2 linked regions of the Astyanax mexicanus genome follow. The protein of the gene in region 1 interacts with the protein of each later gene in a biochemical or structural test. Links are inferred from orthologs where the notes say so. Each region holds a gene or a part of one and is shown on either strand. Other genes may lie near its edges.

What was found.
Region 2: of the proteins of wnk1b (region 1) and klhl3, one has a biochemical effect on the other in vitro, tested with the Homo sapiens proteins (2 studies listed by BioGRID). The link is inferred for Astyanax mexicanus from reciprocal best matches to the Homo sapiens genes WNK1 and KLHL3.

The regions. Positions count from the first base shown.
Region 1 is NC_064409.1:5,328,519-5,344,447, forward strand, and holds the start of wnk1b (serine/threonine-protein kinase WNK1), read left to right. Parts: upstream 1-8,730; 5' UTR 8,731-9,672; intron 9,673-12,967; 5' UTR 12,968-13,445; coding exon 13,446-14,171; intron 14,172-15,929. UniProt on the Homo sapiens protein: Serine/threonine-protein kinase component of the WNK1-SPAK/OSR1 kinase cascade, which acts as a key regulator of blood pressure and regulatory volume increase by promoting ion influx.
Region 2 is NC_064417.1:37,862,563-37,878,399, forward strand, and holds the start of klhl3 (kelch-like protein 3), read left to right. Parts: upstream 1-9,548; 5' UTR 9,549-9,978; coding exon 9,979-9,992; intron 9,993-11,622; exon of another isoform or gene 11,623-11,688; coding exon of another isoform or gene 11,689-11,699; intron 11,700-11,996; coding exon 11,997-12,116; intron 12,117-12,315; coding exon 12,316-12,422; intron 12,423-12,696; coding exon 12,697-12,818; intron 12,819-13,935; coding exon 13,936-14,098; intron 14,099-14,228; coding exon 14,229-14,338; intron 14,339-15,464; coding exon 15,465-15,581; intron 15,582-15,678; coding exon 15,679-15,828; intron 15,829-15,837. Other genes in the region: dpf2l (D4, zinc and double PHD fingers family 2, like), read right to left, coding at 1-30, 222-334, 619-750, 954-1,085, 1,181-1,265, 1,358-1,447, 1,797-1,993, 2,095-2,202 and 2 more; hnrnpa0a (heterogeneous nuclear ribonucleoprotein A0a), read left to right, coding at 4,881-5,792. UniProt on the Homo sapiens protein: Substrate-specific adapter of a BCR (BTB-CUL3-RBX1) E3 ubiquitin ligase complex that acts as a regulator of ion transport in the distal nephron.

The sequences.
Region 1 (15,929 bases):
TGTTAACCTTGAGCTTTAACTGAAGTGGTTTAACAGAAATATTGGATGTAATAATACATTAAAGAAAAATTAAATATCATTGGAAAGTTCAAAATGTGAAACTCATACATTATATAGATGTATTACCTACAAAGTGATCTATTTTAAGCGTTTATTTCTTTTGTTGTTGATGATTATGGCTTACAACCAATGAAAACCCAAGTATCAGTGTCTCAGAAAATTAGAATACCATATAAGACCAATTGGTACTTTTGGAAGTGTGAAAATGAAATCCACGTCTCCATAAAATAGCTGCACAACAGACAGACTCAGAAGGTCCTTCATCCCAAGAGCATCAGACTCTTTATTAACTCATCTATCTATCTATCTATCTATCTATCTATCTATCTATCTATCTATCTATCTATCTATCTATCTATCTATCTATCTATCTATCTATCTATCTATCTATCTATCTATCTATCTATCTATCTATCTATCTATCTATCTATCTAGTTGTCAGCAGAGGGAAGCTTGAAGTGCTGTAAGATTTTGCATTTCAGTTGGAAATCAAAGGACCAGAGTCACACAGTCCAAGCTGCTTGAGGTCTAGTGTGAAGTTTCCACCAATCAGTGATGGTTTGGAGAGACATGTCATCTGCTGGTGTTGATCCACTGTGTTTTATTATCAAGTCTAAAGTCAGTGCAGTTTTGTTTTCCCACAAAATCTTACAGCACTTCATGCTTCCTGCTGCTGACAACTTTTATGGAGATGCAGATTTCATTTTCCAGCAGGACTTCATCAATGTCATCATCTGCCATTGGTTTTGCAGTATTTGGTTGATACTGAGCAGACTGACATCTGGATGCACTAACTAATGCATTCAGTTGTCTTTGATTGGCTAAATACTTTTTATATTTTAATCAGTTGTGCTCCACCATAACTATGTATCATAATTTCTCCAATACGTTTGACCAAGAACACCACTGGTAACTGGTATATATAATGTAAACAAAATTCATAGAATATTTTTTTTACAGGAACATATTTTTAGCTTTAGTCAGTCCACCTACGAAATGTTACATAACGTGTTACGTTCTTTTTTAAAGCCTTTAAAAGCCTTGCAAAAACGGAAACTGGTCATGCAGGCTACATTTCTTTGTGTACATGCATGTAGCCTGTGGCATGTGTCGCTTTGCATGCTCAGGGTGGAAGATATGCTGAGCTACAGATAACAGCACAAACTCATTTGGATTAGTCCCCCTCCTCCCGGCTCTCTGCAGTTAGTTTGTGATAACTGATTTAAATGCAGTTATTTAGTTCATTAAGGAGAATGCACTTCTCGTCTACGAGTCTTAAACGAGACTTATTTGATCAGGATTTAGTAATGACAGATCTATTCTTAAGAGCTGCATCTCAGCACACCTACTCTACACTCCCTCCAGTGGTTCTAGAAAGCTACAGCTGCATGAATTTGGGCTAACTGCAGTGTTTAAGGGAGGGGGTGTGGGAGTGTAGGCCCTTTTCTCTCTCACTTTAACATGTTGTTAAAGCTGCTTTGCATACCAGCACAGCCTTTTTCAAGCGAAAACCTCTCAAAAATACAGGCTGCCCTTTATATAAGGTGATATAAGCTTTATATATGATAGGCAGGAACAGTGAATATTTTGCAAGCAATTAAAAGGTGTATAAAATACCTCAGTCCTCAGTTTTGTTTTACACCTCAAGTCATTTAAAGGGAAAGAACTTTAAATTCCTGGTTTTCTGCATTTAATCAGTTTAAATGAAAGAATTAAAGAAAGCTATTTCTCGAAATATGACAGACACTGTGATTGCTTTATTATCAACATTATGCATAACTTTATTCATTGATGTTTTTTAAGTACTCAACAAAGTACACAATTAAAAAACATGTAAGAAGTATGGAAAATGCAAATATACAGCTCTGGAAAAAAATAAGGGACCACTTAAAATTATGATTTTCTTTGTTTTCACCAAATTAAAAACCTCTGGAATATAATCAAGAGAAAGATGGATGATCACAAGCCATCAAACCACCAAACTGAACTGCTTGAATTTTTTGCACCATGAGTAAAGCAGCATAAAGTTATCCAAAAGCAGTGTGTAAGACTGGTGGAGGAGAACAGGATGCCAAGATGCATGAAAACTGTAATTAAAAAACAGGGTTATTGCACTAAATATTGATATTATGAATGTGAACTTGTTTTCTTTGCATTAATTAAGGTCTGAAAGCTCTGCATATTTTTTGTTATTTCAGCCATTTCTCATTTTCTGCAAATAAATGCTCTAATTGACTTTTTTTATTTGGAATCTGGGAGAAATGTTGTCTGTAGTTTATAGAATAAAACGACAATGTTCATTTTACTCAAACATAAACCTATAAATAGCAAAATCAGAGAAACTGATTCAGAAACTGAAGTGGTCTCCTATTTTTTCCAGACATCCAGACATTCTGAACCCAATATATCTTGTTTTATTGGGTCAACTTCAATTCACTTATTAATATACATCAATACCTTTTAAGCCTGTGACATGTTCCACTGATTAATGGTCAATCACATCATATGACATCTCATCCACTAAAACTCCATTTAAATTTTTAAATGGCCCTGTGCCTTCTTTCAACATTTTTAATACAAGGAAAAACTTGGTGACTCTAGAAAACCCTTAGAGAACCCTTGTTTCTGTAGCCTTAGAAATTGCTTAGAAAGTGCTGTGAGAGTTATGAATCATATTACCCTTAATTCCTAAGAGTGCTCCTAGCTTACAATTGCCACTGAAATCACATACGATGGTGGAATTCCCCTATAATGGCATTTGGCGGGTGCTCTTTTCCAAAGCAATTTACATTTGAATCAGGTTACACAGGTAGGTGAATGTAGCTTCGGGAGCCAATCTCTCTGATTGGTGAAAAGTGGTGAACTTGCCTAGCTGGGGAATTAAACCCTAATACTGCATAGTCTTTAAAGGAGAATTCTGGTGTAAAATGGGCTTTTGATGCAGTAAAACATGATAAAATGTACTTACCTTTGATGAATAGCACACCTCCTACAGTGTTCTGAGATCCAGGAATTTTAACAGTTTGCCTAAACACCCTTCAGACTGGGTAACACTGGGCATAATTTGCCCCGATAAATAGCTTTTTATACCGTTATCCAGCTCAAAGTAGCTCCACACCTCCTTGCTAGAATCTGGAGAGCCCTGACATTTAAAACGAGGCATTAATAACTTAAAAAGTGCACAAGAAGCTTATTAAAAAACACTGTTTACATGCAATCATGCTAGCTTCAGCTCCAAGCGCCGCCATCACTGAACTGATAATAACAGACATATATATATATATATATATATATATATATATATATATATATATATATATATATATATATATATATATATATATATATATACACTGCTCAAAAAAATAAAGGGAACACTCAAATAACACAATATAACTCCAAGTAAATCAAACTTCTGTTAAATTAAACTGTCCACTTAGGAAGCAACACTGATTGACAATCAATTTCACCTGCTGTTGTGCAAATGGAATAGACAACAGGTGGAAATTATTGGCAATTAGCAAGACACACTCAATAAAGGAGTGGTTCTGCAGGTGGGGACCACAGACCACTTCTCAGAACCTATGCTGTCTGGCTGATGTTTTGGTCAGTTTTGAATGTTGGTGGTGCTTTCACACTCGTGGTAGCATGAGACGGACTCTACAACCCACACAAGTGGCTCAGGTAGTGCAGCTCATCCAGGATGGCACATCAATGCGAGCTGTGGCAAGAAGGTTTGCTGTGTCTGTCAGCGTAGTGTCCAGAGGCTGGAGGCGCTACCAGGAGACAGGCCAGTACACCAGGAGACGTGGAGGAGGCCGTAGGAGGGCAACAACCCAGCAGCAGGACCGCTACCTCCGCCTTTGTGCAAGAAGGAACAGGAGGAGCACTGCCAGAGCCCTGCAAAATGACCTCCAGCAGGCCACAAATGTGCATGTGTCTGCACAAACGGTTAGAAACCGACTCCATGAGGATGGTATGAGGGCCCGACGTCCACAGATGGGGTTGTGCTCACAGCCCAACACCGTGCAGGACGCTTGGCATTTGCCAGAGAACACCAGGATTGGCAAATTCGCTACTGGCGCCTTGTGCTCTTCACAGATGAAAGCAGGTTCACACTGAGCACATGACAGACGTGACAGAGTCTGGAGACGCCGCGGAGAGCGGTCTGCTGCCTGCAACATCCTTCAGCATGACCGGTTTGGCAGTGGGTCAGTAATGGTGTGGGGTGGCATTTCTTTGGAGGGCCGCACAGCCCTCCATGTGCTCACCAGAGGTAGCCTGACTGCCATTAGGTACCGAGATGAGATCCTCAGACCCCTTGTAAGACCATATGCTGGTGTGGTTGGCCCTGGGTTCCTCCTAATGCAGGACACTGCTAGACCTCATGTGGCTGGAGTGTGTCAGCAGTTCCTGCAAGATGAAGGCATTGAAGCTATGGACTGGCCCGCCCGTTCCCCAGACCTGAATCCGATTGAGCACATCTGGGACATCATGTCTCGCTCCATCCACCAACGTCACGTTGCACCACAGACTGTCCAGGAGTTGGCGGATGCTTTAGTCCAGGTCTGGGAGGAGATCCCTCAGGAGACCATCCGCCACCTCATCAGGAGCATGCCCAGGCGTTGTAGGGAGGTCATACAGGCACGTGTAGGCCACACACAATACTGAGCCTCATTTTGACTTGTTTTAAGGACATTACATTAAAGTTGGATCAGCCTGTAGTGTGTTTTTTCACTTTAATTTTGTGTGTGGCTCCAAATCCAGGCCTCCATTGGTTAATAAATTTGATTTCCATTGATGATTTTTGTGTGATTTTGTTGTCAGCACATTCAACTTTGTACAGAACAAAGTATTCAATGAGAATATTTCATTCATTCAGATCTAGGATGTGTTATTTGAGTGTTCCCTTTATTTTTTTGAGCAGTATATATATATATATATATATATATATATATATGACTCCGCATAGCGTAGCAGCTGGTGCCAGGAGGCAGGCTATGCGGAATTTATGTATATATATCAGCTAGCTCAAAATCCTTCTACACATTAATTTGGGTATGTGTTAAAGTATGGAAAAATGCATATGATTTCAATTATGATCACGTTACATAAATGCTACAGAATGCTAGCACGGCAGTTACGTAAAGACATAGTCCACACTTTACATTCTCTTCGTCGATGTGTGCTGAAAACAGGAAGGCCAATTACTGCCTCGTCCAGGCGGGGAACAAAGTGTACACATACCACAGGCACATACGTCTCAAACACGTACACATTCTGAGATGCAGATCTTTGCTGAAGAGCGCAGCAAGTGAACCAGTACTTTGCAGTCTTACCGTACATAATTAACCTCTGTCCCTGTGCCACCTCCAACAGCCCCCAGGCCTGCTGAGAAGTAGCTGTGGGGCCTCTTCTGCAAACCAGAGGGGTAATATATGATCCTATAAGAACCTACACATGTGGGCCATATGAGGGACCGAGGCTGGTGCATGAGGAAATGAGAAAATGGAAACGACCAGTAATTTTAGCATGTAGAAATGGACATGTGGGGCACAGAGTGGTCCAGCGGTCTAAAGCGTTGCCACTATGATCGGGAGATTTCTGTTTTGAATCGTGGTCATACAGCTCTCCATCAGCTGCCGAAGTCCTGAAAGAGCACAATTGGCATAGCGGTGTGTAGATGCTGCTCTTTTCCTCCACATCCCTTCCAGGGTGATGTCAATCAGTGCAAGGCGTCTGTGAGCTGATGTATCGGAGCGCTGTGATGCACCTTGGCAATGATGCATCAAAAAGAGGCGGAGTCTGACTTCACATGTGTTGGAGGAAGCATGTGCTAGTCTTTACCCTCCTTATGTTGTGGCATCACTAGTGATTAGGGATATACAGCTGAGTAGAAGCTGAAAACAGAAAACTAGAGAAATTCAAATAGAGAGATTTAACTTAACCTTCTTGTTTTGACGCTCCCTTATAAGGACCCCACAGGACTGCATGTTTTATTGATCAGACACAGTAGTGCTGCTGGAGTTTTTAAACACCTCATCGTTACTGCTGGACCTAAAATCATGAACCATTAAGACTATCAACCAGAAACAGACATCCCAAGTTGCAAAAATTAATTTCAGGGAGGGACCCCTGGACATGGACCAAACCCCCAGCCCCCACCACCCCAGGACCTGGACGTGGACTACCACAAAACCCAACCATACCGCCCCTAAAATAAAAAAAATGACTGTCAGGGTGCCTGCATTTCCTTAAAAATTCTTAAAATATCTTACATTAAAATTCAAGTAATTACAGTCTTAAATTGTCTTAAATTTACTGTAAATTTGCTGTAGGTAAGACATTTTCAGACATTTAATGCCGGCGGGAAAGCACAAACTTTAGCGGTGAGTTAGCTAACGTTACTGGGAAGATAACTAAGGTTAGTAGAGAGCTAGCTAACATTAGCGGTGTGTTAGCTATGTTACCGGGGAGAGAACTATGGTTAGCAAAGAGCTAGCCAACACAGTAACATCAGTTGTGAGCTAGCTTACATGCTAAAATATTAACTTTAGCGGTGAGTTAGCTACGTTACCGGGGAGAGAACTAAAGTAAGAGGAAAGCTAGCTAACATTAGTAGCTAGCTAGCTAACATGCTAACATTTGCGGCTAGTTAGCTACGTTACCAGGGAGAGAACTAAGTAAGTGTCATAACAAAGGGGAAACAAAAGATAACAGCAAAAGATAACAGAACTTCTATCTCTGACTTTTATCCACAAGGTGGACAAATTAGGTAGGAGTGTCCAATTAGGTGGACAGTCAGCCGACACCGTGTTTAAAAACTCCAGCAGCACTGCTGTGTACCTAATATCCAGCAAAATTACAAACATTTTGACTGTACTAATACATGCAACATAATATAGTGCATAATATGAAAGCATAATGTGACTTTTTTAAACAGTGTATCACATATTAGCACGAGGTAAAGATTACACAGTGTGATTTCAAGCTTTTGCCATTTGCGTAAGCTTTGTGTGTGTATATTTATACAACCATTAACAGTGTAAAGAGGATTAAGGTAAAAGATACGCTCTGGAAGTGGGTCATTTGCAAATTCTATATTACTGTTTGATAAATGGGCTTTAACATCCTGAGTGATTTCTTCCTGCTCCATCCCATAACCTGACCTTTCATGACATTTGCATGCACTGTTCATACAGCACTTGGTGCATATAATGTAGTTGCTCACTCCGAACTTCTAAAAGTATTTAAGAAAAACAACAAATTAGAAGAATAGAGAACAAACACCAGTTTCTAACAGATGTGGGAAAAGGTTTCAGGAGAATTTTCCAGTCCAGTCCACATTACCTAAAAATAATGAGATAGCAATTTACTTAATAAGAAAAAAAAACATGCTATTTTTAATATTAAAAAAAATCCTCCTTTTGAGATACTAAGTCATTATTTTGAGATTCTTCTGAGATACCGAGACATTATTTTGAAATAAGTTGAAGCTTTGCAATCTACAGCTTTGCAATCTACTAAATACTGAGATAGCAATTAACTCAATGATAAGAAAAGAAATACAGGCTATTTTTAAAAATACTTCTGAGATACTAAGTCGTTATTTTGGGATACAAGCTCATACATTTAAGATACTAAGACATTATTTTGAGATACTTCTGAGAAACTAATATATTATTTTGAGATACTATTTAACTATATCATTATTTACACAAGCTCATACTTCTGAAATACAAAGATATTATTTTTAGATACTTCTGAGATACTAAGATATTATTTTGAGTTACTTCAGAGATACTAAGATATTATTGTGAGATACCTCTGAGATACAAAGACATTATTTTGAGATACTAAGACATTATTTTGAGATATTATCGCATTATTTTGAGTTACCTCTGAAAAACCAAGACATTATTTTGAGATACTTCTGAGACACTAAGGTATTATTTTGAGACACTATCTCACCATTTTTTTTATTTTATAATAATTTTATTTCTCTGGCTCAGCTGTGCAACCTACTGCTACCTCTAAATACTGAGATAGCAATTATGATAAGAAAATCAAGAAAATACATACTATTTTTAAAAATACTTCTGAGATATTAAGTCATTATTTTGAGATACTAAGACATTATATTGAGTTACTTGTGAAATAACAAGACATTATCTTGAGATACCCCTGAGATACTAAGACATTATTTTGAGATATTAACTCATTATTTTGAGTTACCTCTGAAATACCAAGACATTATTTTGAGTTACTTCTGAGACAATAAGGTATTATTTTGAGACACTATCTCACCATTTTTTTTATTGTATAATTATTTTATTTATCTGGCTCAGCTGTGAAACCTACTACTACCTCTAAATACTGAGATAGCAATTAACACAATGATAAGAAAATCAAGAAAATACATACTATTTAAAAAAAAATATTAAACAATATTAAGTCATTATTTTGAGATACTGTCTCAATGTGTCATTGTTTTCTTTCTCAGGCTCATCCATACAATCAACGCACTGTTATCTCAGAATAATGACTTGATGTATTGTTTATCCTCACAACTCTACCCACCTCTGCTGCGGCTGATAATCATGAATGAAGCCCCCCCCTCTTCTCACCGTGTGTTTCTTTAAGGTTTGCTACAGTGTTGCACGCGGTGTGATAGAAGTCCGCCGCTGCTGTGTGTGCGGAGGGAAAGGCGACCCCCCTCGGTGTGTTTGATAAAAGCCCGGCTGAGGCTCTTGTGGGCGGGGAGCTGGAGCAGCTCGTGTCGGCGCAGCCTCCAACGTGACACACTGGAATAAGCATCAGAAGCGATAGAGAGAGAGAGAAGGAGAGAAAGAGAGAAAGAGAGACCAGCTGCTCAACAACACAAAGCGTACGTTTGGACTCTAAACGTTATACAGTGCGGGGAAATGCTGAGATTTGATCTGCTGCTTGCTGGTTCTCGGTAGGATAGGCTCTCTGACTGTGTCCACCGTCCAGGAATTACACACAGTTTCACCGGCCAGACTGAACAGAGGAGACGAGCTGCAGTGGATGTTTGTTTTTTCGCTGCATTGTTCATGGGAAAGGCGATACGGAGAGACTGCGAGAGCGAACTTGAGAGAAACCAGCCAACCTGAAGATCTGCAGGACTGGGTTTAACAGCTGCAGCAGTATATCATTGGCCTGTGGGAATATAAGCAACATTTTCAACCCAGCATTAACAACATTAACCCAGTCGTTTGCAGAGCTGCTGTGGCAGTAGGCAGTAGCTGTAGTGCCTGTGTGTATGTGTTGAACGGCATGTCCTGCAGGAAGGATTTCTCCTAAATTAGATAGTATTAGTACCAAGTAATAATATGTATTCGGTTATTTAGCTAGCTATGACTTGTTGGTACTGTTATGGCTAGCTATCTAACCTAACTTAACCTAACCTAGCCCAACGCAGCAAGCTCACAGTCTGCAGTCTTTAGGTTAGCTTGGTTGGGTTTTTCCTTCTTCCTCACACTACAGACTACTGCTGTTGCTGTCTGTCTGTCTGACTGTGTGATTGTCTTTCGTCTTGTCTGTTTCATTGGAGGAGGATGACACCAAAGGATGGATAACACGATACGAAAGGTAAACTTGAATGTCTTGTCTTATCTTTTTCCCTATCTGACCTACCTACCTATTGGATCTTTCTATCTAACGTTATATCTCTAGCATTAGGTCTACCTACATACCTAGTTACCTGCTGGCTTGCTGTGTTGTGATTCAGCAACGTGGTGAGACAGATCCGTAGGGCTGCAACGATTCGTTGACATAATCCACAAAATCGTTTTAACTGCACTGTGCACTAAACTACACTTGAAAACGTAGCTTAGCTAATGAGGCAGGGGTTAAGTTTCCTAAGTTGTTCACTCACCCAGTTCACATACCTAATACATAGCTAGGTTACATTTGATTTAAGCTTAAAAGCTATTAAGTCTTATTAACCTAGTTCGCCATGTTAAGACATATTTAACTCTTTATCAGCCACTTTTTACACGCAATTTGCTTAAATAGCTTATTATTATTATTTGCGATATTATACATTAAGGCAGTGACTGAACAACAGGGTGAAGAGACTTACAGGTGTGCAAGCTTGGGCAGGTGAGGGGGGATTGGAGAAATCGATTAGTCGATTATAGACTAATCGAAAAAAAAAAACATAACAATTAGTGAGCAGTCCTATGGAGTGTGTTTACGGGTTGACTAGGACTGCCACTAATGATAGTAGAGTCAACTAATAAGCATTTTTTCAACTATTCGACTCTAAACATCGTTAGATTAGTCGACTAGCTACCAAAATTATCATTAGTGGCAGCTAGTAAATAAAGAGTATATGTGGTGTTTGGGGTAGCTAGTTATTAACACTTACAGGTGTGCAAGCTTGAGCGGGTGAGGGGATGGCAGAAATCGGTTAATCGATCGAAAAAAAAAAACGTCAGATTAGTCGACTAGTTACTAAAATAATCATTAGTGGGCAGTCCTAGTAAATGGTGTGTTAGTAGTAGGTTTTAAATCAGATGGAGAGAGATAAAGAGAGAGAGCAGCTGGTGGTGGCACACTGACTGTTTGGAGCTGCTGATGTGTTTTGGATGTGAACGTTGCTTTTAGAAGTTTAAACCTTCAGAAACCCTGTTTTAATCGATTTATTGAGGTTAACTTCCAAATTCTAGCAAACTCAACATTGTAAAAGCATATATAAACGATGAACACACTGGCTGTTGGAGCTGCTGTGCTGTTGTGGAGTTTAATGGGAACGTTGCTTTAATGTTAAACCTCCAGAAACATTTAGAAACCCTGTTTAAGTCGATTTATTGAGGTTATCTTCCCAATTTCTAGCAGATTCAACGTTGTAGCTGCCTATTCAACACCATATCAACACAGTGTTTGAGCTGCTACTGTGATTTGGAGTTTAATGTGAACGTTTCTTTCATTTGAAACCTTCAGAAACTCTGTTTTAAAAGCGATTTATTCAGGTTAGTTGTTAGATTTGAGCAAACTAATGAGATAGTAAGTGCCTATACAAAATATTTAAACGTTGTTTTTAGCTGGCTACATTAGCTAAACGTATTTTTTATTATTAGTGTTATTATTAATAATACACTAACTACTCCAGATAGCTTGCTAGCCCTGCCTGATTTATTAACCTACTTTTTCCAGCTAATTTTAGCTTCAACACAAACAACGTCTTAGCCAACAAACCGGGTAGAGTTAACTAGTTAATTAACGCTATTTAAGCTAGCCTTAGTTAATCTACCGGTATGTTTAGCTAGCTGTTAAAGCTAGTTATTTAGCTGAGCTCATGTTCTCCCTCTTTTTCTCCTCACGTTTGCATGCTAACAGCTTCTGGAAAGATCTCCCACTGAGATATTGGTCGCTTTGTCACTTTGGCCATAGTTTTAAAGTGTTAAAACGTTAAAATCACAGTTGATATCCAAAACCTGCGGACAAATGGCTGGTTAGCTTAGCTTAGCTAACTCGCTATCCGACACAGAGCTCTGAAGCTCTTCTCCCAACACTACAGAACACAGGGTAGCTAACTGCCCAGCTAATGTCAGTCTCTGAGGTGGACTAGTATCGTTTCAAAACGTTTAAACAAGCTAAATAAGTGTATAAACTGTATTATTCTCTGTTAAAACGTTGCCTGTCTTTAAGTAGTTACCTGACACGAACTATTTAATCAAATACTTAAAGTTTCAGAAGTTTTTCATGCATTTATTTACTATGAGCTAGATAGTTGTGGTGAATTGTCCAGCTCCAGAAAGTTTTCTGGAACTGACATCATGTTAATGCGTGGCCACGACATATTAAGGCGTTTAAATAAGAAAATTAAGCTGCGTGAATGAGCTAATTAACCCTTTCAGACCTGAGTTCTCTCCAGTGATGGGATAAAAGGATGCTGTTTTATGTCCATAATGCACAGAAAAGAAGACTATAATATTCTACTATAAAATCTATATAGCACATAAATCCAATTAAATAAAATATTTAAAAAATATTTTTTTCCCATTGCATTGAAAACCTGTAATATTTTATATTTCATATTTACCTGTTTATTTTTATAAACCCCCATAAATCCCAGAACAGTAAAAAATAAAACATGATTAAAAGTGTTCTAAATCATATTAAACTGTATTTCCAGTGCAGTGGATGGGACCAAGCTACTGCATTACTGGTGTCCGCCTAGTATCTTGATAAGAAAGAATGATTTGATAAGAAGATATATTTTGTATATATTAGGCTTGCTGGAGACTTTCCTAAGAAACTCTGGCGAATATAGTGTCTAGCTACATGTCTATATGTGAATGTACACAGTCATCACATACAAAGTGGTTTTCTAGTTAGTTTAACCAGTAAATCAGCCTCATGCAGCCAGTCTTATTAAAGCTGTCCATAAGCAGTAAATTGGATTGTTAAACCCCCTAAGATCAACGCTGTTTCCATCAGCCCTTGCTGCCACGCCCCCAAATTTCCTTCACCCCCATGGCTGCCACATGGAAATAGGCTTTATTTCTGTGAGGATTGGCTTCCTTAGGAGACCATTTTTAATGTTGATTTAAAAATAATGATATAAGAAAGAATATCTCTGGCAGAAGAATATCTTATGGCTGATTTGGTCTCTGCACATTTAGCTGCTCAGGATAGAACCATCTGTGTTCAGGTTTGTAGGTTAAAGTGTGTGAAAATGGGTCAGACTTGCATGTAACTGGCAAACAATTCCAGGGAAATAAAACTAATTTCCCCTTTTCTCTTCCTTTTGTGTAGAGCCATGCCAAACCACTGACATGCTTGTTGGTGGTTATAGCTTTAAGGTCAAGCTGACAAAGACTAAAGTCTAAATTTGGGCATGCAATTAAACCTGTTCTCTGCTTGTGTTGTCTTGCAGTGAGTCTGGACCTGGGGTTGGGTTACGCAGCCGGGTTGACCGTTCCCTGTTTCCCGAAGGAAAGCGTGAAAAGGCTTTAGCCCCGCCCGTCTTGTGGTTCCTTATGCTCCATGAAGACTCTTCCCGGGTTGCTGCAGGATGGATGGTGTGGATTTGACGGTTCTTGTCTGTCACCATCAGCGCTTGCTTCTCTGTGACTGCGTCTTGTTCTTTTACATTTATAAAAGAACACCCCCTCTCCTGGACTCGTACCATAAATACTGTAACAGTAACTGTTTATAAGGAACACCCAAGGAGGGGGTTCTCCCAGAAACTCTCTGAGGCTCTTTAAAGCTTTTAATTTGTGATCATACCCTTCACTCTGTTTGTGGAGAGAAGTTCTTCACTATAAAGTGAACGTTTACATTTGGATTTATACACAGTAATTTATTTATTCTTTTTGATAGTTAGCTTTATTTTGTTTTTGCCTGGTGTGAAGATGTCCAAGAACAATGGCACAGAGTTCCTGGCCCCTCCGCCACCAAAGAATGTGAATGGTTCGGGCTCCGACTCGCTGCTCGGCGAAAAGCTGGGTGCGGAGGTCCGGCACCGGCGCCACACTATGGATAAAGACCTGAAGACTGCTGAGCACCGGTTCTTTAGGCGCAGTGTCATCTGCGATTCCAACGCTACTGCTCTAGACCTTCCTAGCAAAGCTTGCATCCCCACTTCGCCTCCGGATCGCGAATCATCTGCGGCGCCCTTGAGCCTTGGTTCTGCTCCTGATGTAGCTGCTGAGGCCTGCTTGGCTGTGGTGGAGATTGTTGTAGAAGAACAGGCAGAAGATACCAGTGAAGGAGGGCGGCTGTCTGGGCTTGACGGGGATGAGAAGCAAATCCAGACTTTAAGCCCTGAGAAAAGTGAAGCTTCTGGAACCCCAGTTTTGGTGCCCATCGTAGTGGATAACCAGGAGCAAGATGTTGGAGAGGCTGAAAAACGCGAGGAGGAGGAGAAAGGGGCAGCAAAGGCCCGCGCTGAAGCAGAACAGAGGGAGGCTGAGAAGAAGGAGCGAGAGGATGAGGAAGTGGAGACGAAAGCCGTGGGCACTTCGCCAGATGGGCGCTTTCTTAAGTTTGACATCGAGATTGGACGCGGCTCTTTCAAAACCGTCTACAAGGGCTTGGACACTGAGACAACTGTGGAAGTAGCGTGGTGTGAACTCCAGGTAAGGAAGAATCAATCCTCTCATCCCTAAACTCTTCAGTTAGAGTCTTAGTTGGTCTTTATCCCCAGTAGTTACAGCAAAGGTAATCTAATTGAACGTTTGGCCTCAGTAATATGACCTCCTCTTCTCAGCGTGCTGTGATGATGCACATGCTGCAGGCATTCAAAATAGGTGTGCAGTGTTTAAAACTGCTGATTAAGACGAGATAAGTTGGCAGTCAGTGTCAGAACAGTAGTACAGAAGTGGGTACCAAGGTTACAGCAGGAAGTCTTCTCACCCGACATGTTTTTTTTTGCCATTCTGTGGTTACGTTTCTCACAGTGCCAAATGAAGGTCAATGAAGAGCTGTAGCAGTGGTGGTGGGGAGGAGAGAAGTTCAGTTGCAAGCTCTTTGGTCATATGACCAACTGTTTAAAGAAAAAAGTAATACCAAATTATTTCAGCCGCAAGATATTTTTGCTTTCACTTTGATGCCTGGGTAAGGTTATATCAGGCCAAAGCAATCTTATAAATACCGTCTTGAGCAAATAAATGCAGATCTGACTCTGGGAGTTGAAGCAAATTATGCTCAGTTGGATCTCATTAACCAGTGACCCAACGGACGAGTGTTTTCCCCAAGCATCACAAAGCTCTCCCTCTGTCTCTCTCTCTCTAGGCATCTCTCAGTCTGGCTTTAACTCAATATAACCCATTTCTTTTCATTTTTATTTTGTGGAAAGCATGTTTGTTTGTGAGCACCTTGTCTGTTAGAAAGCATTACTCATGTAATTACTTTTCTGGACGTTAGGGGTGTAATGATGAAGCATGTTTATATACAGCAGAAAGAGACAGGGCCTGAATATGCGCCTTGTGTTCGAAATAGCTGCGTCCCATGTAGGTAGGCCGTGTTTTTTGATGCTTTTAGGTTGTTTTCAAAATGAAGGAATCTGAGAAATTAAGTAATTTTGAGGACACAGGTCCTGGATTACCCCTAATTCTTTGTGCACTTGCAATGCAAAGGGGAAAACGAACAACACAGCAAAAATTAGGCCTAGATTTCCACTAATGCTGCCCGACAGCGCTACACTGAGGAACCCTGAGTGTTCCTGAGTGTCTGATATACTCACCTCTGAACAGCATAAGAACTAACGCTTAGCGTGGTTAGTGTGTAATGCTAATGCTACTCCAGCAGTGCTAGCCGGGGTTAGCAGCAGGCAACAGGCCCATTATACTCACCTCTGACTGGCAAAAGAGCTACTGTTTAGCGTGGTTAGCGGCAAATGCTAATACTGCTCCAGCCTCAGTGCTAGAGACCTTAACTGAAACTCCTTTATAACGCTGCACTTCAGTAGTATATATGTATTATAAGGTGCTATGTCAATTTTTGGGAAAATTAAAAAGATTTAACATGCTCCTTAGTGCGAAAATTGGGTACTATAGAGTATGTCAGTTGGCTTGGTTAAAAAAACAGTGAAGATGGGGAAACCCTGATAAAACCGCAGCACTAAAAAACAACTCATGATGCATGCATTAATAATATTAATAATAATAATAATAATAATGATAAAACCCCTAAAGCTTTGCAAAGGTTACGTAATCTTATCTAATACACAGATGAGATGAGAGCTTTTAAGATGGTCCTCCCTAAGGCCTGCTGGTAATCCTAAAGTGGCGGCTGGCATGCTGGTGCTGACGTCACTGTCTTTGACCCTGTAGTGTGTTGGAGTGGGCGTGGTGGCTAGGAGGCAGTGGTATCTGGAGCCTGTCTGTGTGTACGTG
Region 2 (15,837 bases), on another chromosome or scaffold:
GTCACAGTCATCACAAAACAGAAGCTGATCCTGAACAAGCACAAGGAAAACAAAGGATATTAACCTACTAATCTACATGTATATTAATAAGGCTGCAAACAAGTTATATCAATAGGTAAGAGTTAAATGAGTGACAATGGTATAACCCAGAGAGAGAAAATGAGAGACAGAGAGAGAGGAAGAGAGTGTGAGTGTATACTTGCACACATGAGAAATCTTACGTCATTTTCAGATGTGCCACAAACATTGCAGCATTTGCATTCAATACACTGCCAGCGGTATGTTTTCACTGCTGCCATCATCACTGCAGTGAACTGCAGACAAGAAGGATGGCCTGGGCGAGGGAGAAAGCACAAAGATCACTTGGTACAGTTTATGCTGTGGTCAATCATTTCAAATTCAACTGTTAAAGAAATTTTGTAAAGTATGATTCATTTGGCGTGTGTGTTCAGTCAAACATCCCAAGTTATGTGAAAACTAAATGCAGAAAATTAAGTAGAGTTTTTTGGTAATAGTGCATGATGACTGTGGCAAAACATACTATTTCTGGAGGGGTTTGATTTTATCATTGTTTTTTACTTTATTAAGTAGTAGTTAAATAAGCAGAAAATGGACTACCTGAACGACCACAGTCAGAGCAGGAGACAAGCTCTTCAGACTGGCCAGTCTTCTGGTTCATGTTCGAGTCACCCAGGCAGAAATCACAGTAATCATTTGGAGGTGCCAAGCCATTAGGTCCTTTCTTAGGGGCTGAGGATGAAATGAACTGAGTAAATGCCCTGTAAACGTGTTAACAGCTTAAACTAGCATGCAAGACTAAAGTCTGACACATTTTAAATCTAAATTTGCATTAAAAAGCACTGAAAGACTATCAGCTGTATTTGTCATCGTCAAGTAACTACCAATCAACTAGGTGTTAAAAATAAAATCTACATATCCCTGAGAACACTTACTCTTTGTCTCCTCCTGTGGTGGAGGGGGGAGGATCTCAGGCTCCTCTTTGTCCTCTCCCTCTTCATCAGCCAGGTGAGAGTGGGTGTAGTGGTAACTCAAGCCTGGCCTATTTTTATAGCGCTTTCCACAAACTAGGCAGATAAAATTTTGATTAAAATATTATCACAGAGAAGGTACAACAGCCCACATATACTTATGAAAACAATTATCATGAAACACAGCTTACTGTCACAGGCGTAAGGTTTATCGCGGTCTTCTAGTGCTGCTGCAGCAGCTTCCAATTTTTTCTTCCCATTTCCAACTCCACGACCCTGTCAGACAACACAGACCAGTTCAGTACTTCTTTCAAAAACAAAACATTATTAAAGTAAAAAAAAGAAGAAAAAGTCACAGCAAAGGCTACCTTGGACTTTCCTTTTCGTCTTTTTGGAGTCTCCTCCTCAAAGTCTTCATCGTCCAAGTCATCCAGATAATCTTCTGGTTCCAAGATTCTCTGAGAGACACAATAACAGACTCATGTACAGTACATGTCAAAAGTTTGCATACATGCTTATTATTATTTGTTCTTCATTTGTATGATTTAGTTTTAAATGCTTAAATCTAATGCAGGTGGTTTGGGATGAGTTGCAGCGCAGAGTGAATAAAAAGAAGATTATAAGAACTCGGCACCTTTAGGACTTTTTTAAAGAAGTCAAAGTCTTCAATTTTAATGTAGAAAATAATAAATACCAAAATAAAAACATTGTATGTATATACAACTGTTTACACACTGTAAAACATTTCCACTACACATTCTTTTAAACATGATGTAGTTTGATCAATAAACTTTATTATTTCAATACCTTTCGGACACGTGTGGAGGTGCTGTGGCTACTGGCCCCAGTTGCTCCGGTGATTTCAGTTAAATTGGTTTCTTCCTCTGGGCCCCTGAGTTCTGGAGGGGCTCTCTTATCCAAAGGTTCTCCTTTCAGCAAGGCCTCCAGACTGCTACCATCCAACGTCCCCAGCACATCTTTTTTCAGCCCTAATTCCAGATCCGCTTTGGGAACAAAGGACAGATACACAGGATAATGGCTAAGCATCATAATTTTCCACAAAAAAAACATATAAGAAATAAATGCCCAGACGTAGATCAAACACCTGTTTTAAGTGGGGGGAAAACCAAAGCAGGATCTTCTGGTGGATGTGCTCGCCTCTTTTTCCTCCAGCGACGGGCGGGATATGTGTACAGCTGGCCTGGTGCTATGCCTAGCAAGGAACAAAATTGGTACTACTGAGAAAACAGTCGGAGTAACAAGGAAAAATGTATTATTATTTTTTTAAAAGTTGGCATATTAAACCTGCACTTCTGTGTCTTTTTTCCATCCATATGTAGCAGTTGCTTTGAGCTACTCCAGTCTGGGAGTCCAGAAAAGGCATGAGAATGCTTCTCTCTGCACACAGCCGGGCATTGTAGTTGTGGCACTGCTCCATGGCATCTTTGTAGTATTGTTCACCCAATCTAAAGCACATACACATACATGTTCAGAATCAATGCAACAACAAAAGCAACACGTTAAAGTTAACTCCTGTCTCAATAAAGATAAACTACCTTATTTGCTTAACATGCTTATTAATTTCCCCAGCACCGGATCTTTTTTTTTTATTTCAGCCATTTCTCTTTTTTGCGAACAAATGCTCTAAATGACTGTATTTTCTTTTGGAATTTGGACGAAATTATGCCCATAGTTTATAGAATAAAACAACAATGTTGATTTTACTCAAACATATACCTATAAATAGCAAAATCAGAGAAACTGATTCAGAAACTGAAGTGGTCTCTCTGAAGTAGTCTGTAGTTAACGCTAACTAGCGAGCTAACTGCAATACACAAACATTAAAAACGCACCTTCTCAACAACTTAAGAACACGCGAACAACAAGCTGAGGGTTTAAAGCAGAGTTTAAAACAGTTTATATCTTATAAACACCTTCTACATGCTAACTATACAACCCTGGGGTAACACCACAGCATCGACAGCAGGGGTTTTGTTTCCATTGGAAAACAATGAATGGAGTAGCTGCAGCTGTGGTGCTACTTAGCAAACCCACTCAAAATCGATAAATCCAGCTAAACAAACCCACTTTCATTTACACGATCCTTCGCCAAAACTTATGCTCTATTAAACGATCAGTTTATATGCTATAAACAAGCTGTGAAAGATGGTTTAAACGCTCAAAAAATGGTAAATCAACTCACACTTTAACAACATTCTCAACGGCGGCCGCCATTTTTTGCCGTAATAGCTGTTGTGTGGATGCCGCGCATGCGCACTGTGGACACGGGAACTAGCACACGGTCACCTCCTCCTCCTCCTTCTTCTTCTTTATTCAAACACAGCTGCCTCCTAAACCGCACTTTGATATATATATATATATATATATATATATATATATATTAATAGCTGCAATATATAGACTATACCGGCATTAATATATATCATAGACTACAGGACTATACTACTAATAACACGGTGTGTACAGAGTAGCTAATGTACTAATGCTTTTTAGTGAGCTAAAAAATCTCATTTTACGCAGACAATGAATGAATTAAATGAACCCACACATTTAATTACGGCTCTGCCTTAAAATATCCAGCTCATATATTTTAGCTGGTCAGCTCGTTGGTTTAATTGCTCTCGACCGATGTTGTCTCTAAATGACCAGCTGGAGTTTTTAAAGCTTTTTTAGGTGCTTTTCTTTTTTTTTTTTTTTTACCTCAACCTCCCTTAAAATATCTTAAAATGTTAGCAACTAAAGCTAATTTGTTTAGTTAGTAGCCTAACACTCGCTCTGCTTGCATTCTATCTATCTACATTTAGCTAAGATAAAAAATTATATTAGCTAGCTAACCTACAGCACCATGTGTTAAAGCTAGCGCTTCATATATGAGCAGATGGTGGGCAGCTAGCCAGAGAACAAAAGCACGAGCCTGAAAGAAAGAGACCCTACAACACAAAAAACCTTTATATTGCTAGCTGAACGTGATAGTCCATTAGCCGACTATATAGCTACTGCTTTTTTAACAGTTCTTATAGCATTTTTATCTTTTTAAACACAGTATATTAACGTATATTACAACCCGCCGTCGTAATAAACGACAAAGACCACACATAAAAATCCAGTTTAATAGACACGCTGCTTTAACCCTATATGGCATGAATTATATCTTTCGGGAGATTTCTCATCTGACCTCCTCTTACCCTGCATGTTTTGGGTTCTTCCTTGCTTTAAAACACCAAATTATCTAAAGGCTAAATCTAAATTTAATTTGGTATAACCACAGGGACTCCCAAGCTTTCATAAATGCTGTTTTCCTTCCCGAAAAGGTATAATTAATGCCATATAGGTTTAAAGCAATGTGTTTAATAAACTGGGTTTTATATGTGTGTTCCACTGCTGGATAATGATTTATTTAAAAAAAAAACATGAATTAACACATATTTTTATTTATGTCCCACCTATACGCCTTATTGTACTGGACGTAGATATGCAATGTAACATTATATTAAAGATAAGTAGGTACAGCAAGGAAGTGAATAAATACGTATGGTATGGAAGGGTTTGTGGTTTGTGTTTCCTGACGGCAAGACTATGCCACAGAGGGTTAAAAACACTAAATAAAGGCATTAAATAATAGATTATTGTAGTTGACGTGATTAGGGCTTTATATTATTTATATCTTTATTTAGTAAATTTAGGGGTCTAAAATAATGAATTAAATGTGATTCTGTTGGATGTGGGCGGTGCTACAACCTCCCCCCGCGTCTCCGCCTCTCACCACGCCCGCCCGCCGCCGCCATTTATTACAGAGCAGCCGCCATTTCACATCACCGTTCCCGGAGCCGACTGAGAGGTTACTAACCTGTTCAAGTCAGCGCTAAGAAAATGGAAAACCAGCTTTGCAAGCTTTTCGTCGGTGGACTCAACGTCCAAACTACGGATGAAGGTCTCCGCAAGCATTTCGAGCAGTACGGGCAGCTGACCGACTGCGTGGTTGTCCAAAACCAGCAGCTAAAGCGCTCCCGCTGCTTCGGCTTCGTGACCTACACCTCGCCGGAGGAGGCCGACGCCGCCATGTCGGCTAGGCCGCATGTCCTGGACGGGAACAACGTGGAGATCAAGCGGGCGGTGGCCCGGGAAGACGCAGGGAAGCCAGAAGCTCTCGCTAAGGTCAAGAAAATTTTCGTCGGCGGTCTGAAGGACGACATCGAAGATTCGCACCTGATCGAGTGCTTTTCTCAGTTCGGCTCCGTCGAGAAGGCCGAGGTGATCATGGACAAAGACACGGGTAAGAAGCGCGGCTTCGGCTTCGTGTACTTCGACGATAACGACTCGGCGGACAAAGCGGTCGTGCTCAAGTTCCACACAATCAACGGACACAAAGTGGAGGTGAAGAAAGCGCTGACCAAGCAGGAGATGCAGTCTGCAGGCGGTCGCGGCGGCAACCGGGGAGGACGAGGCGGACGCGGCATGGGAAGGCCCCAGAACGGCTATGGCGGCGGAAGAGGCGGTGGCTACGGTGGCGGCTATGGCGGCGGCTACGGAGGCAACGACGGCAGCTATGGCGGTGGTTACGGTGGTGGCTACGGTGGCGGGTATGGGGGAGGCTACGGGGACCAAATGGGTGGCTACGGCGGCGGTAACGGCTACAATGACTTTGGAAGCGGCTATGGCCAGCAGTCTTCTGGCTATGGGCCAATGAAAGGTAATTACTCGGGCAGAAGCAGCGCTCCTTACTCCCGCGGCGGTGGCGGTGGTGGTGGTTACGGCAGGGGGGGTTATGGAGGCTCGTATTAAGAGGGCGTGTTTTAGGTCCGAGTTTAAGAGCTGCTCCTTCTCCAGGACTCGAACGAACTCCTCTTTTTCACTTATCCATTCATACAGGAACCCTCGACTAACTAACTACCCAGCCTAGCACAATAGGAGAGATAGGGCGCCCCTCCGCGGCCTATCGCCGCCTATACAGTTAAACCCAGCGATCAAGTTCTTACAGCAGCTATTACCTACTACTACCCCAGACCCCAGTTCATCGGTCTGCTCTAGAACTACTAGGCGGATTCACATCAAGTCAAATAGGACTACTACTACTCTGGATCTTTTACTTTAATCTGACCTCCCGCGGGTGGCAAGGGCAGGTTACCTGACGGAGAACTGTTTTACCACGCTTATTTGTCTGAATTAAGTTAAGATTAGCTCACTTGCTTGTTAGCATAGGCATGTGTTTTCTCTCTTTTAGTATATGTATTGTATCCTGTCTTTTTATTTCTTCCTTTTTTACCTGAGTTTAAGAAGTGTTAAATCTGGGCTATTTTTTGTTATTAAAAGCGTTAGCTGTGTATTTCCGGTGCAGTTAATTTGTAGTCCTTTATTTTTTTTAAAACTAGGCTCGTTGGTCATTATAAAGGCGAGCTGGGTCGGCGCTTAAATTATCGCCCTAAAATTGGTGGTGATCTCGGTCTTGGCTGAGAGCAGCATGTGTATATAGAAGGACCAGGCCATGGTTCGTTCTCGTCTCACGTTCATCAATTACTCCTTCCTCGTTATAGTGACTGACATGTAAATCCCACTTATATATGTTAAATAGTTGAGTCTATTATAATTATTATTATTATGGAATTATTGATTAAACATTATTGTTACAGTGAACCTGTTTTCAGATTATTTTAGGTTGGATTTCGATTTCTGCTTTTAGTTTAAACACCAAGAAGACTTCATTTAAAATGCTTTGTCTCACTGTGTTCCTGAAAGGTATTGACTTATTAAATATTGTTTTTCAGTTATACACTAAAACTGTATGTATTTCTATTTAATAAAAGTTCCATTAGCCATTGTTTTACTGACTTTAGACGAGCCTCATTTTGGGTGGTTTTGAATAGACTAGACTAAGCGTATTAGCTTAGCAGTAATTGATTAGATGCTGTTCATCGGCTCATTGTCTTTCTACTTCACTTTGATCATCTCTAGATCAGATGAGTGGGGGGATTACCATTTCCTCACCCATTTAACTAAGGATGTTGTATTTTACCTATTTTCTTATTGTAAAATATGTCTAGAGCTCTGTTCCAATACTTTTAGTGATCAAATAAGACGGATCTATACCTTAGCTGTGTCCACTACTACGTCATTGGATTCTCCAGGGGTACTCCAGAGCTGTAGAAACCCAGCTGAAAGTCCATAGGATATTCGCACCAGGTTTCAGGTTTGTAGAAATACTTTACACAAGACATTACATTGTCTTAAACACCATATGGATCCACCTGGAGCAACTGAACTTGCATCAGGTATTTTCTAGATGATCCAGTAATGCGTGCATGCAACATAAGTTTTACACATTTCTTAAATATGTATTTTAACCTCAGTAAATTTGAGGTGACTTGTGTGAATTAATTTAAGTGGTAAATAGTATAATTTATATTGTCTGGTTTAATGTATGTGAAGCTGTGGTGCTACGCTCTAGTTATGTCTTAATCAAATATTTTAGACAATTTTCAGTTTAAGGTCTTACCGGAGTGTGGGGCTTAGAGTTCCTGTTTACTTGATGCATTAGTTCCAGATATTAATGACACCAAATGCAAGGAGATCAGCATTTATAAGCAAGGTTTGTGGCTTCAGTTATTTATCTTACATCTTATCTTACACCCCCTCCCTCATCATCTCGGTGTTTTGCTTGTGTTTTGTCCCTACACATTTATGGCACACTGAAAGGACTTGGATAACATTGATATGTGCATTAAACTGTAGTAGTAATCCTTTCATGGCTTTAAGTAGTTTTGAATTTAATGCACTTGTCTGGGCTGTTGAATTGTATGACTGTGCAATTTTCATACCAGAAAGTGCACTTTGCATTTTACTTCCCTTCCATTATTTAAACAGTTTTAGTTGCCCTAAAGAATAATTAGTAGTATAAATAATGAACTGATTGGGTTTGGCAAATTTAGAGCCTGTTTGAGGAACTAATTACTAAATTTAAATGATCATGCACTTACATCTACCCCTCTCTTTTACCCTGCAGAAATGACAAAACTGCTGGGAATAGGTAACTTCTTGGTTATAAGCCCAGCTGGTGGATGAAGACCTTTTGGAAAGCAGACCTGATTGATTTGAAAGTTCTGCAAGTAAGTAAAATGTTAAATGACCCAGAAATCTAAATGTTGTGGACATAGACATTGATGCATACTATTTACCTAACAATTTTGTATTTTTTACAGTGAACTGCAGCAAAAGCAAACTTCGGAGTGTGCATATGCTCCTACCTACATGGAGAGGCCTGTATGAGCACACAGTGGTAAGTTCAGAATGCTAAGAAACTGCAGTAATTATGCATTTTCATGTTTTAATAAGTGGCAAACCTAATGTGTCCCTGTTTTTCTTTTTACAGGCTCCAGAGGTTGGTGTGGCGCTGAGGCTCCAGGGCACTGGTGGAGAGGAAGATGATTCAATGTTGTTGAACTTCAAGATACCAGTGTTTTTGTGACCAATTCTTGCCTGCATTTTTTTTTCCTACAGAACATGAGAATGACTGACTATACATTTGCACTTGATTGAATAAAAATCATGATTGCGAATCTGAATCTGCTTGGTTATTAAAATGCTGTCTAGATGTTGTTTAGATCAGTGTGTTTCAATCTTTTAGTTAAAACTCCGTTTTTGTAAAGTGCCAATGTAGACCCCTACTCTGGGTAAAAAAAAAAGAAAAAAGGGCAGGATTTAAAACTGAATTTTTAATAATTCACCAAATAATTGGGTTATGGCCAAATTGGATAATGATAAAGTGGCATAACAGTTTTATTTATTTATTTTTCGTGAGGTACTGATTTTGAGCCCCCCAGTTTGAGAACTGCTTGGTTGGACAATGCTGTTCATCTTGTGTTCCTTTTGGTACCATTCACAACAGCTTGTAATTGAGTAGGTTTATATCCATTATAAATTCTTTTTCTTTTTTTTTTCTTTTTTTTAGATATAGAGATATAATCCATTTAGATGGCAACAATCCTGGGTGTGATTTAAATACGAGGCGCGTATATTAGTAGTCTGGGTGCCTGGTGGTGGTTTGATTGTATTTTTGTACATATATAGTTATTCTCAGGGGAACCTGGATATTTGTAGGCTTTCTTCAATTCTTTTCCTTGAGGCTCACTGCCGTGTACAGTTAAGTGTTTTTTTCTGCTTTAATGTCTCAACAGAAACTTTTTTAATTGGCTGATTAGTTGGAAGCGTAATAAAGTGTATGGTAGTGGGTCTTCAGGGTAAAGGGAACTGTGGTCATGAGTAGCCTGTCCGGTGAATGTCCTCTGGACTGGTTTGGGGAATCTAGCTACTGGGCCGCGAGCCAACGACGACAATAGGTAATGGTTTTGATATCTGGGTGTGACAAGATGCTGCAGTGATGGCTGCCCACTGCTCTGGGTGTGTGTCCTCTATACTAGTACTTAGTTTTCTAAATATAGGTTAAAGTTGGAGGCCAAATTACATCTGTACCTACTGTACAAGTATAGTGTATATGGTTGTCTTGTCTTGCTCATTTCTGAATTCATGCCCTGTCCATTTGCTCCTTCTGAGAGTCTGAATAAGTGTTAGAGGATATTTCTGCAGAAGATAGCCCATGTTGTTCGGCACCTTTAGCATCCTACGCTCACAGTTTCCCGGGAGCTCGTCGGCGCGTTACCTGGCAACGTGGACACGCGCTGATTGGACGGTTGTGAGTGAGAGGACAGCGGGCAGAGAGAGGGCTGGAAACTGCCTCTGACACTCAGCATGTAAACATTAAGCTACAGACTGCCCCGCTGCTTATTAACACACTACAGTAAGGGATACAGGGCGAGCTCAGCGCGGGGCTGTGCAGTCTGCTGACCACTACCGAGGGGAGAAGGCAGAAAGGGCGGAAAATAAGTTATAACTATGGGCCCGAGAACCGCAACGGGATGAGCTAGCGAGCCTACCAGCGTTAGCCTAGCCACCCGGCTAGTTGCAGTGTTCCGGAAACATGGAATTTATCGGGTAAGTGCTGAAAGTAAAGGCACGGAAACCGCTTTTCCACAAAAATACACTCGCTTAAGAGTAAAATATGTGAGATACTTTACCCAAACGACTCCTTTAATTGGTGGATTTACCCTAGCTAACTAGCTGTATGTGACAAAGTCAGGCTAATAGCAGCTAGCGTTGGCTAACGCTAGCTCTGTGTCAGGTCTGTTTACCGAAACGACAGACAGTTAGCTACGGCTAGCTAGTTAACCTAGCTGTGAAAAAATATGAAACACCACTTAAAAATGATGAGTGTCTTGGATTTACCTAATCGAAAACCTCTGGAATATAATCAAGAAGAAGATGCATTATCACAATCCATCAAACCAAACTGAACTGCTTGAATGTTTGCACCAGGAGTGACATAAAGTTATCCAAAAGCAGTGTGTGAGACTGGTGGTGGAGAACATTCTAAGGTGCATGAAAACTGTGTTTAAAAATCGGGTTTATTCCATCAAATACTGATTTCTGAACTCTTTTAACGTATAAACTTGTTTTCTTCGCATTAATTGAGGTCCGAAAGCTTAAAACAGCTGTGTTATTTCGGCCATTTCTCTTTTTTTGCAAATAAATGCTCTGAATTGCAGTATTTATATTTGGATTGTTTTTATTTTACTCAAACATATACCTATAAATAGCAAAACCAGAGAAACTGAAGTGCTCTCTTATTTTTTTTATTTCTTATTTTCATTCTATATATGTGTAGCTACTTGAGTTGAAATAGAAATACCCAAATATTCTTCAGTAGGACTAAAGACTGTTTTGCTTTGAAATGTAGCTGCTTAAGTGTCAAAAGTACTAACAAGCAAAAGTACCACGAATTATTAAGGCTTTAATGTCCTATTATCATTATTGTAACAATACTAGACAACAGTGATGTCTATTAAAGTCCCAAACACCAAATAATGAAAGCAGATGTATTTGCAAATTAGCTATAAAGGTAATTTTAAGGAAATGTGCTTTAGCAAACTATTACTGCACTGCATCTATACAGTACTAGCGAAAGATTTGGACACTTTTCATGCAATGTGTTTTCTTTCTTTTTACATTGTAAATTTAATATAGAAGACATTAGCACTATACAGGAATAGATCTGCACACCCACTAAATTTCTCAGTGTCTTCATGAGGTAGAGTCACCTGGAATAGTTTTCTCAGCGTCCTGATGGAGTTTCTGGAGGTGCTGAACAATAGTTACTGCTTTTTCTTCACGCTGTGAAGCTCCAGCTCATCCCAAATTGCCAAATTACCCATTTCAGTTGATCAGGTTTAGATTAGGGGATTGTAGAGGACAAACACTTTTTATTTACATATTCCATATGTGTCCCTTAATTGATTTCATTTCTTTAACATCAATCTTTAATTAAGAAAATATATTAAATAAAGAAAACATTAAATAAGAAAGTGTGTCCACACGTTTTACTTGTACTGTATATTTAATATATTTTGGCATAGGCACTATAAATTGTATACAGTTGTTGAACGGTATGTTTGAAATGGATCAATATATCCAGCAGGTAAAAACAAGCTCAAAACAAAGTGCAAATTGTACTGTACTATGATTTGTGTTTTTTTTTTGACAAGTTATCTTTTTATGCACACATGAGCCAAAAGGAATGCCAGATCTGCCATAATGGAATAGTGGATTAAAATGGAAGATAATTGACTTTGAAATGTTGTTGAGGTAAAGTGACCTGAAATATTTAATAGAGCCAATTACTTTTACTTTTTCACTGTCCACTGGGTGATAGTAGTTATTTGGCACGATTAGACTGTGTGAAAATATCATAAGAGGATGCTTTTTATGATATTAATGGCTAGACTTTTTTATTATTGGAAAAAGTGTGTAAGCTTTAGCTGTAGTTGATTGGTAGGTTTTAGCTACATTTCTAGAGACAGATATAGCCAGAGTTAGAGAGGTAGCATACTGTATATGTTGTTTATACATAAGTTCTCATCGTATCTAATCCTGTCTCACCAGGAGCCGAGCTACATCCCTGCAAGAATTTGATTCAGAGGACGATGGAAGAGACCCAGGCATGCACACCTTCAGTCATGCACATATGAGGAAAGCCTTTAGGTTAATGAATGACCTGAGAAGGTAAATAAATGCATGGCATTTTTTTAAAAGGGAAAATGTGCATGTACTTGTTTATATACCCATTCTGAAAAACAAATATCTTCTATTATAAAGATCAGTGTATATTTTGATTTGTAATTTAATGTAAAATTAGCAAAAAAAATGTCAAAAACAAACAAAATTTAACTTTTTTTCTTTTTCTTCTCATTAATGATTGCAGCAGAAAGATGCTCTGTGATGTGCTGCTAGTAGCTGGAGAAGTGGAGATTCCGGCACATAAAGTTGTCCTTGCTTCTTGTAGTCCCTACTTCTGTGCTATGTTTACAGGTACTCTGTCTAAATAAAGTAATGAATATCTATAATTAAGCAATACATTTAAGTATCTCAGCATATTGTACATCACAATTTGACAACGTGAAAGCTTAACACCTTGATAAAGGTACCTTCTACTGAAACTTTCATAAAAATTCATGAAAAGGTTTCCCATGTTCCACTGCAGTGACTTAGTTCACCTTTAGTAATGCTGTTGTTGTTTTTGTTTTAATCATGGCTCTCTCCATAATAAAATCTGCTGAAACTGTGTTGTGTTTGCTGTTTTCAGGTGAAATGAGTGAAAGTAAGGCTCCTCGTGTTGAAATAAGGGATGTGGAAGGGCAGATCCTCATGAAACTGGTGGACTACATTTATACGGCTCAGATCGAAGTCTCAGAGGACAATGTTCAGGTGAGTGGATTTTGCATGTTATTTTACCAGTTGTTTTTATATTATCTTAATTGTATAATATGCCTCATGTGTTTTCCTGTTTTCTTGACTCTTTTGCAATTCGTTTGCACCTTTTTTCTCTGGCAAGTCCTGCTCTGAGGCACAGCATTTCCTGCCATTATTAAGAGGGGAAATGTGTAAAGAGCGAGGGAAGGTTCTGCCTGTGTTTACCTCTCATGCCCTTGTGCTCTGATTGTTCATGATTGTGAGGATAATATAAAGTCATGTAATGCCTTTTTTGGGTGTTTCATTAGATTGTTAGCAAGTAGAGGGGTTGTTTTGCTACAGGCACCACAGCTGTAGAGAACAGATGCTCCAAAAAAGCTGCATGGAGCTTTCTCTTGAGATTTAAGTGTATCATGGAAGAGGTAGAAAGGCTCAGTGAAGCTGAGCAATGTGACCTAGTTTTGGTCATGCAGTATGTACAAATGCTGCAGTGAGAAATGTGACTGTTATTAAGCAAGGCTGCATCAGCATGTGGGCTTCTGAAGAATGTTAAGCATAGAAGATTTCTCTGCTTTTTTTTCATATTATGAACACTTGAGCTCACGAATCTCACCTCCAACTCAAAACTAACACAAATCACAAATCGTTCAGCAAATCAAGCAGTTTAGAATGCAGTAATAGATGGATAGATGCGGTAGTATCTGGCTCAGTGAGGGTTGGAGCTAGAATAATCTCAGCTCTTCAATAAGGTCCGTCTTCTGGCACCCACATGACTTTTTTTTGTCCTTTAAAATGATGAACACATCAAAAAAAAATCGGTAACACAAAGAAGTTTCGCAAAGATGATGACAAAAAAAAAGTCTAAAAGAAAAAGGTTTGTTTACTTACGTAACTAACTTGTAAAACTAGTAACTGTGTTTCTGTTAAAGCTCTTGAATGCCACAGAACTGAAGAACATTGCAGACATTAATATTTTTCTCCTACATTTAAAGAATAACATCAAATGTACATTATTTCCTACATAAATATGGAACATATGGAATAATCATTTGTTGTAAAAAGTCAGATTCATTGCAGGAAGTTACAGGTTTTTTACCTTAATCATAAAATATCACATGATGTATCTGCTCAGGTTCTGCTGCCAGCAGCCAGTTTGCTGCAGCTTCTGGATGTGAGGCAGGTGTGCTGTGAGTTCCTGCAGGCTCAGCTCCATCCCACCAACTGCCTCGGCATCCGCGCCTTTGCCGACCTGCACGCCTGCACTGACTTGCTCAACCATGCCCACGCCTTTGCTGGTGAGCTTTTTTATCTGGCTCATATTAACTTTAAGCTCAGTTTAGTTTCAAGCACATAAAGTAGAGCTGGAGAACAGCCAGCTGACTAACAGCCTATGTGTGTGTATATGTTTGTTCTTGTGCTAAACAGAGCAGCATTTCTCAGAGGTCATGCTGGGAGAGGAGTTCATGGGTCTTTCCTTACAGCAAGTGTGCAGCCTTATCTCTAGTGACAAACTAACTGTGTCTACAGAGGAGAAGGTAAGCTTTATGTGTATGTTTTCTGTATGTATCTATATTAATCTTTTAAATCATTTTAATGTCTTCATGTTATTACCTTCCTTTTCACTGTTCTCTGAAAGCACTTCTAAAAAATAATCTCCAGTGGGCATTATTATAATTATTTGTCGTTATTGTTGTTGTTATCATCATTTTGGATAATTTATCTTAAACAAATTCAGCTCACAATTAAGTTAATTATTCAAGAGTAATTATGTAATTGATCATAAAATGTTACTCCAGGTGACTGCTGAAATGCCTATACCTGTAAAAGTTGAGAGGTCAAAACTGGTCAGCTTGCTCATGGCAAGGCTGTGTTATCAGAGCCTGATTAGTGGGTGTCAAACAGACAGGGCATTTCATTAATGAAGCTGTGCATGCACAGTGGGTGGTGATGATTGTGACTGGCAGTGTCCGGCCAGAATTGTCCTTGTGAATCAACAAGCGCGTCTATCAGAAAACGCACTAATTTTAATGCAGGGCGTTTCACAACCATCTCACAGATCAGTGCAGCTTCCTTTAGAATCCAAGGAACATGGCCAAAGTCATGGGACACAATGCTAGTTCCTATCCCATGAATTGTGGCATGTAAGTGAATGGCTGTATATTTTGTGAAATGCTGCTGTGAAATCCTGCTTTTCTTTAATTACAGGAACAGGTTACATGTTTTTGGTGGGTGTGGTTAATATTCAGTTAAGTCAGTTTTAATTATTTGGCCTACTTTCATTGTTTAATCCTGTTCTTGTTTAATCCACTGGTGTCTAGTAAATGTGACAGACAGTAGCAGTTGTTAAAACCATATGCTGGCTATGGAACAAGTCATCCAACTCCATGTTGGTACACTTTAGTAATTTCACTGGATGACTGACTGAAGGCTCTGTCATAAACAGTCTGACTCGCAGGCCAGAGTGCTGCTGGGATGCAGAAGGAGCCGAGCTGTGCGTCAGTTGGAGCCCTCACACACCATTAGCTGCTCCGTGTCTCACCCCCCAAGTTCGCAAGCTCAGCTGCTGCCAGCTGTCATCCGCCATCAGAGCCACCTCAGTGACTCTGCCATCATGAAACAGAGGATGCAGGAGCTTACAGCTTGTTTATTGCACCTCCCCAGGTTTTTGAAGCCATGATCGCATGGATAAAACAAGACAAGGAGGCACGTCTAGAGCACATGCCAAAGCTCATGGAACATGTTCGACTGCCACTATTATCCAGAGATTACCTGGTTCAGGTAGGCTGTCTTTAGGTCTGATTTACACCATGATGTTTGGTATTATTTTATTTTTGGCTAAGCCCTTTACATTACATTAATTTGTGTATCTGTGCAGATTGTAGAAGAGGAGGCCTTGATCAAGAACAACAACACGTGTAAGGACTTTCTCATTGAAGCCATGAAATACCACCTATTACCTGCAGACCAACGACACCTGATAAAGACAGACAGGACACGGCCACGCACACCAGTCAGCCTGCCTAAGGTATGCAAC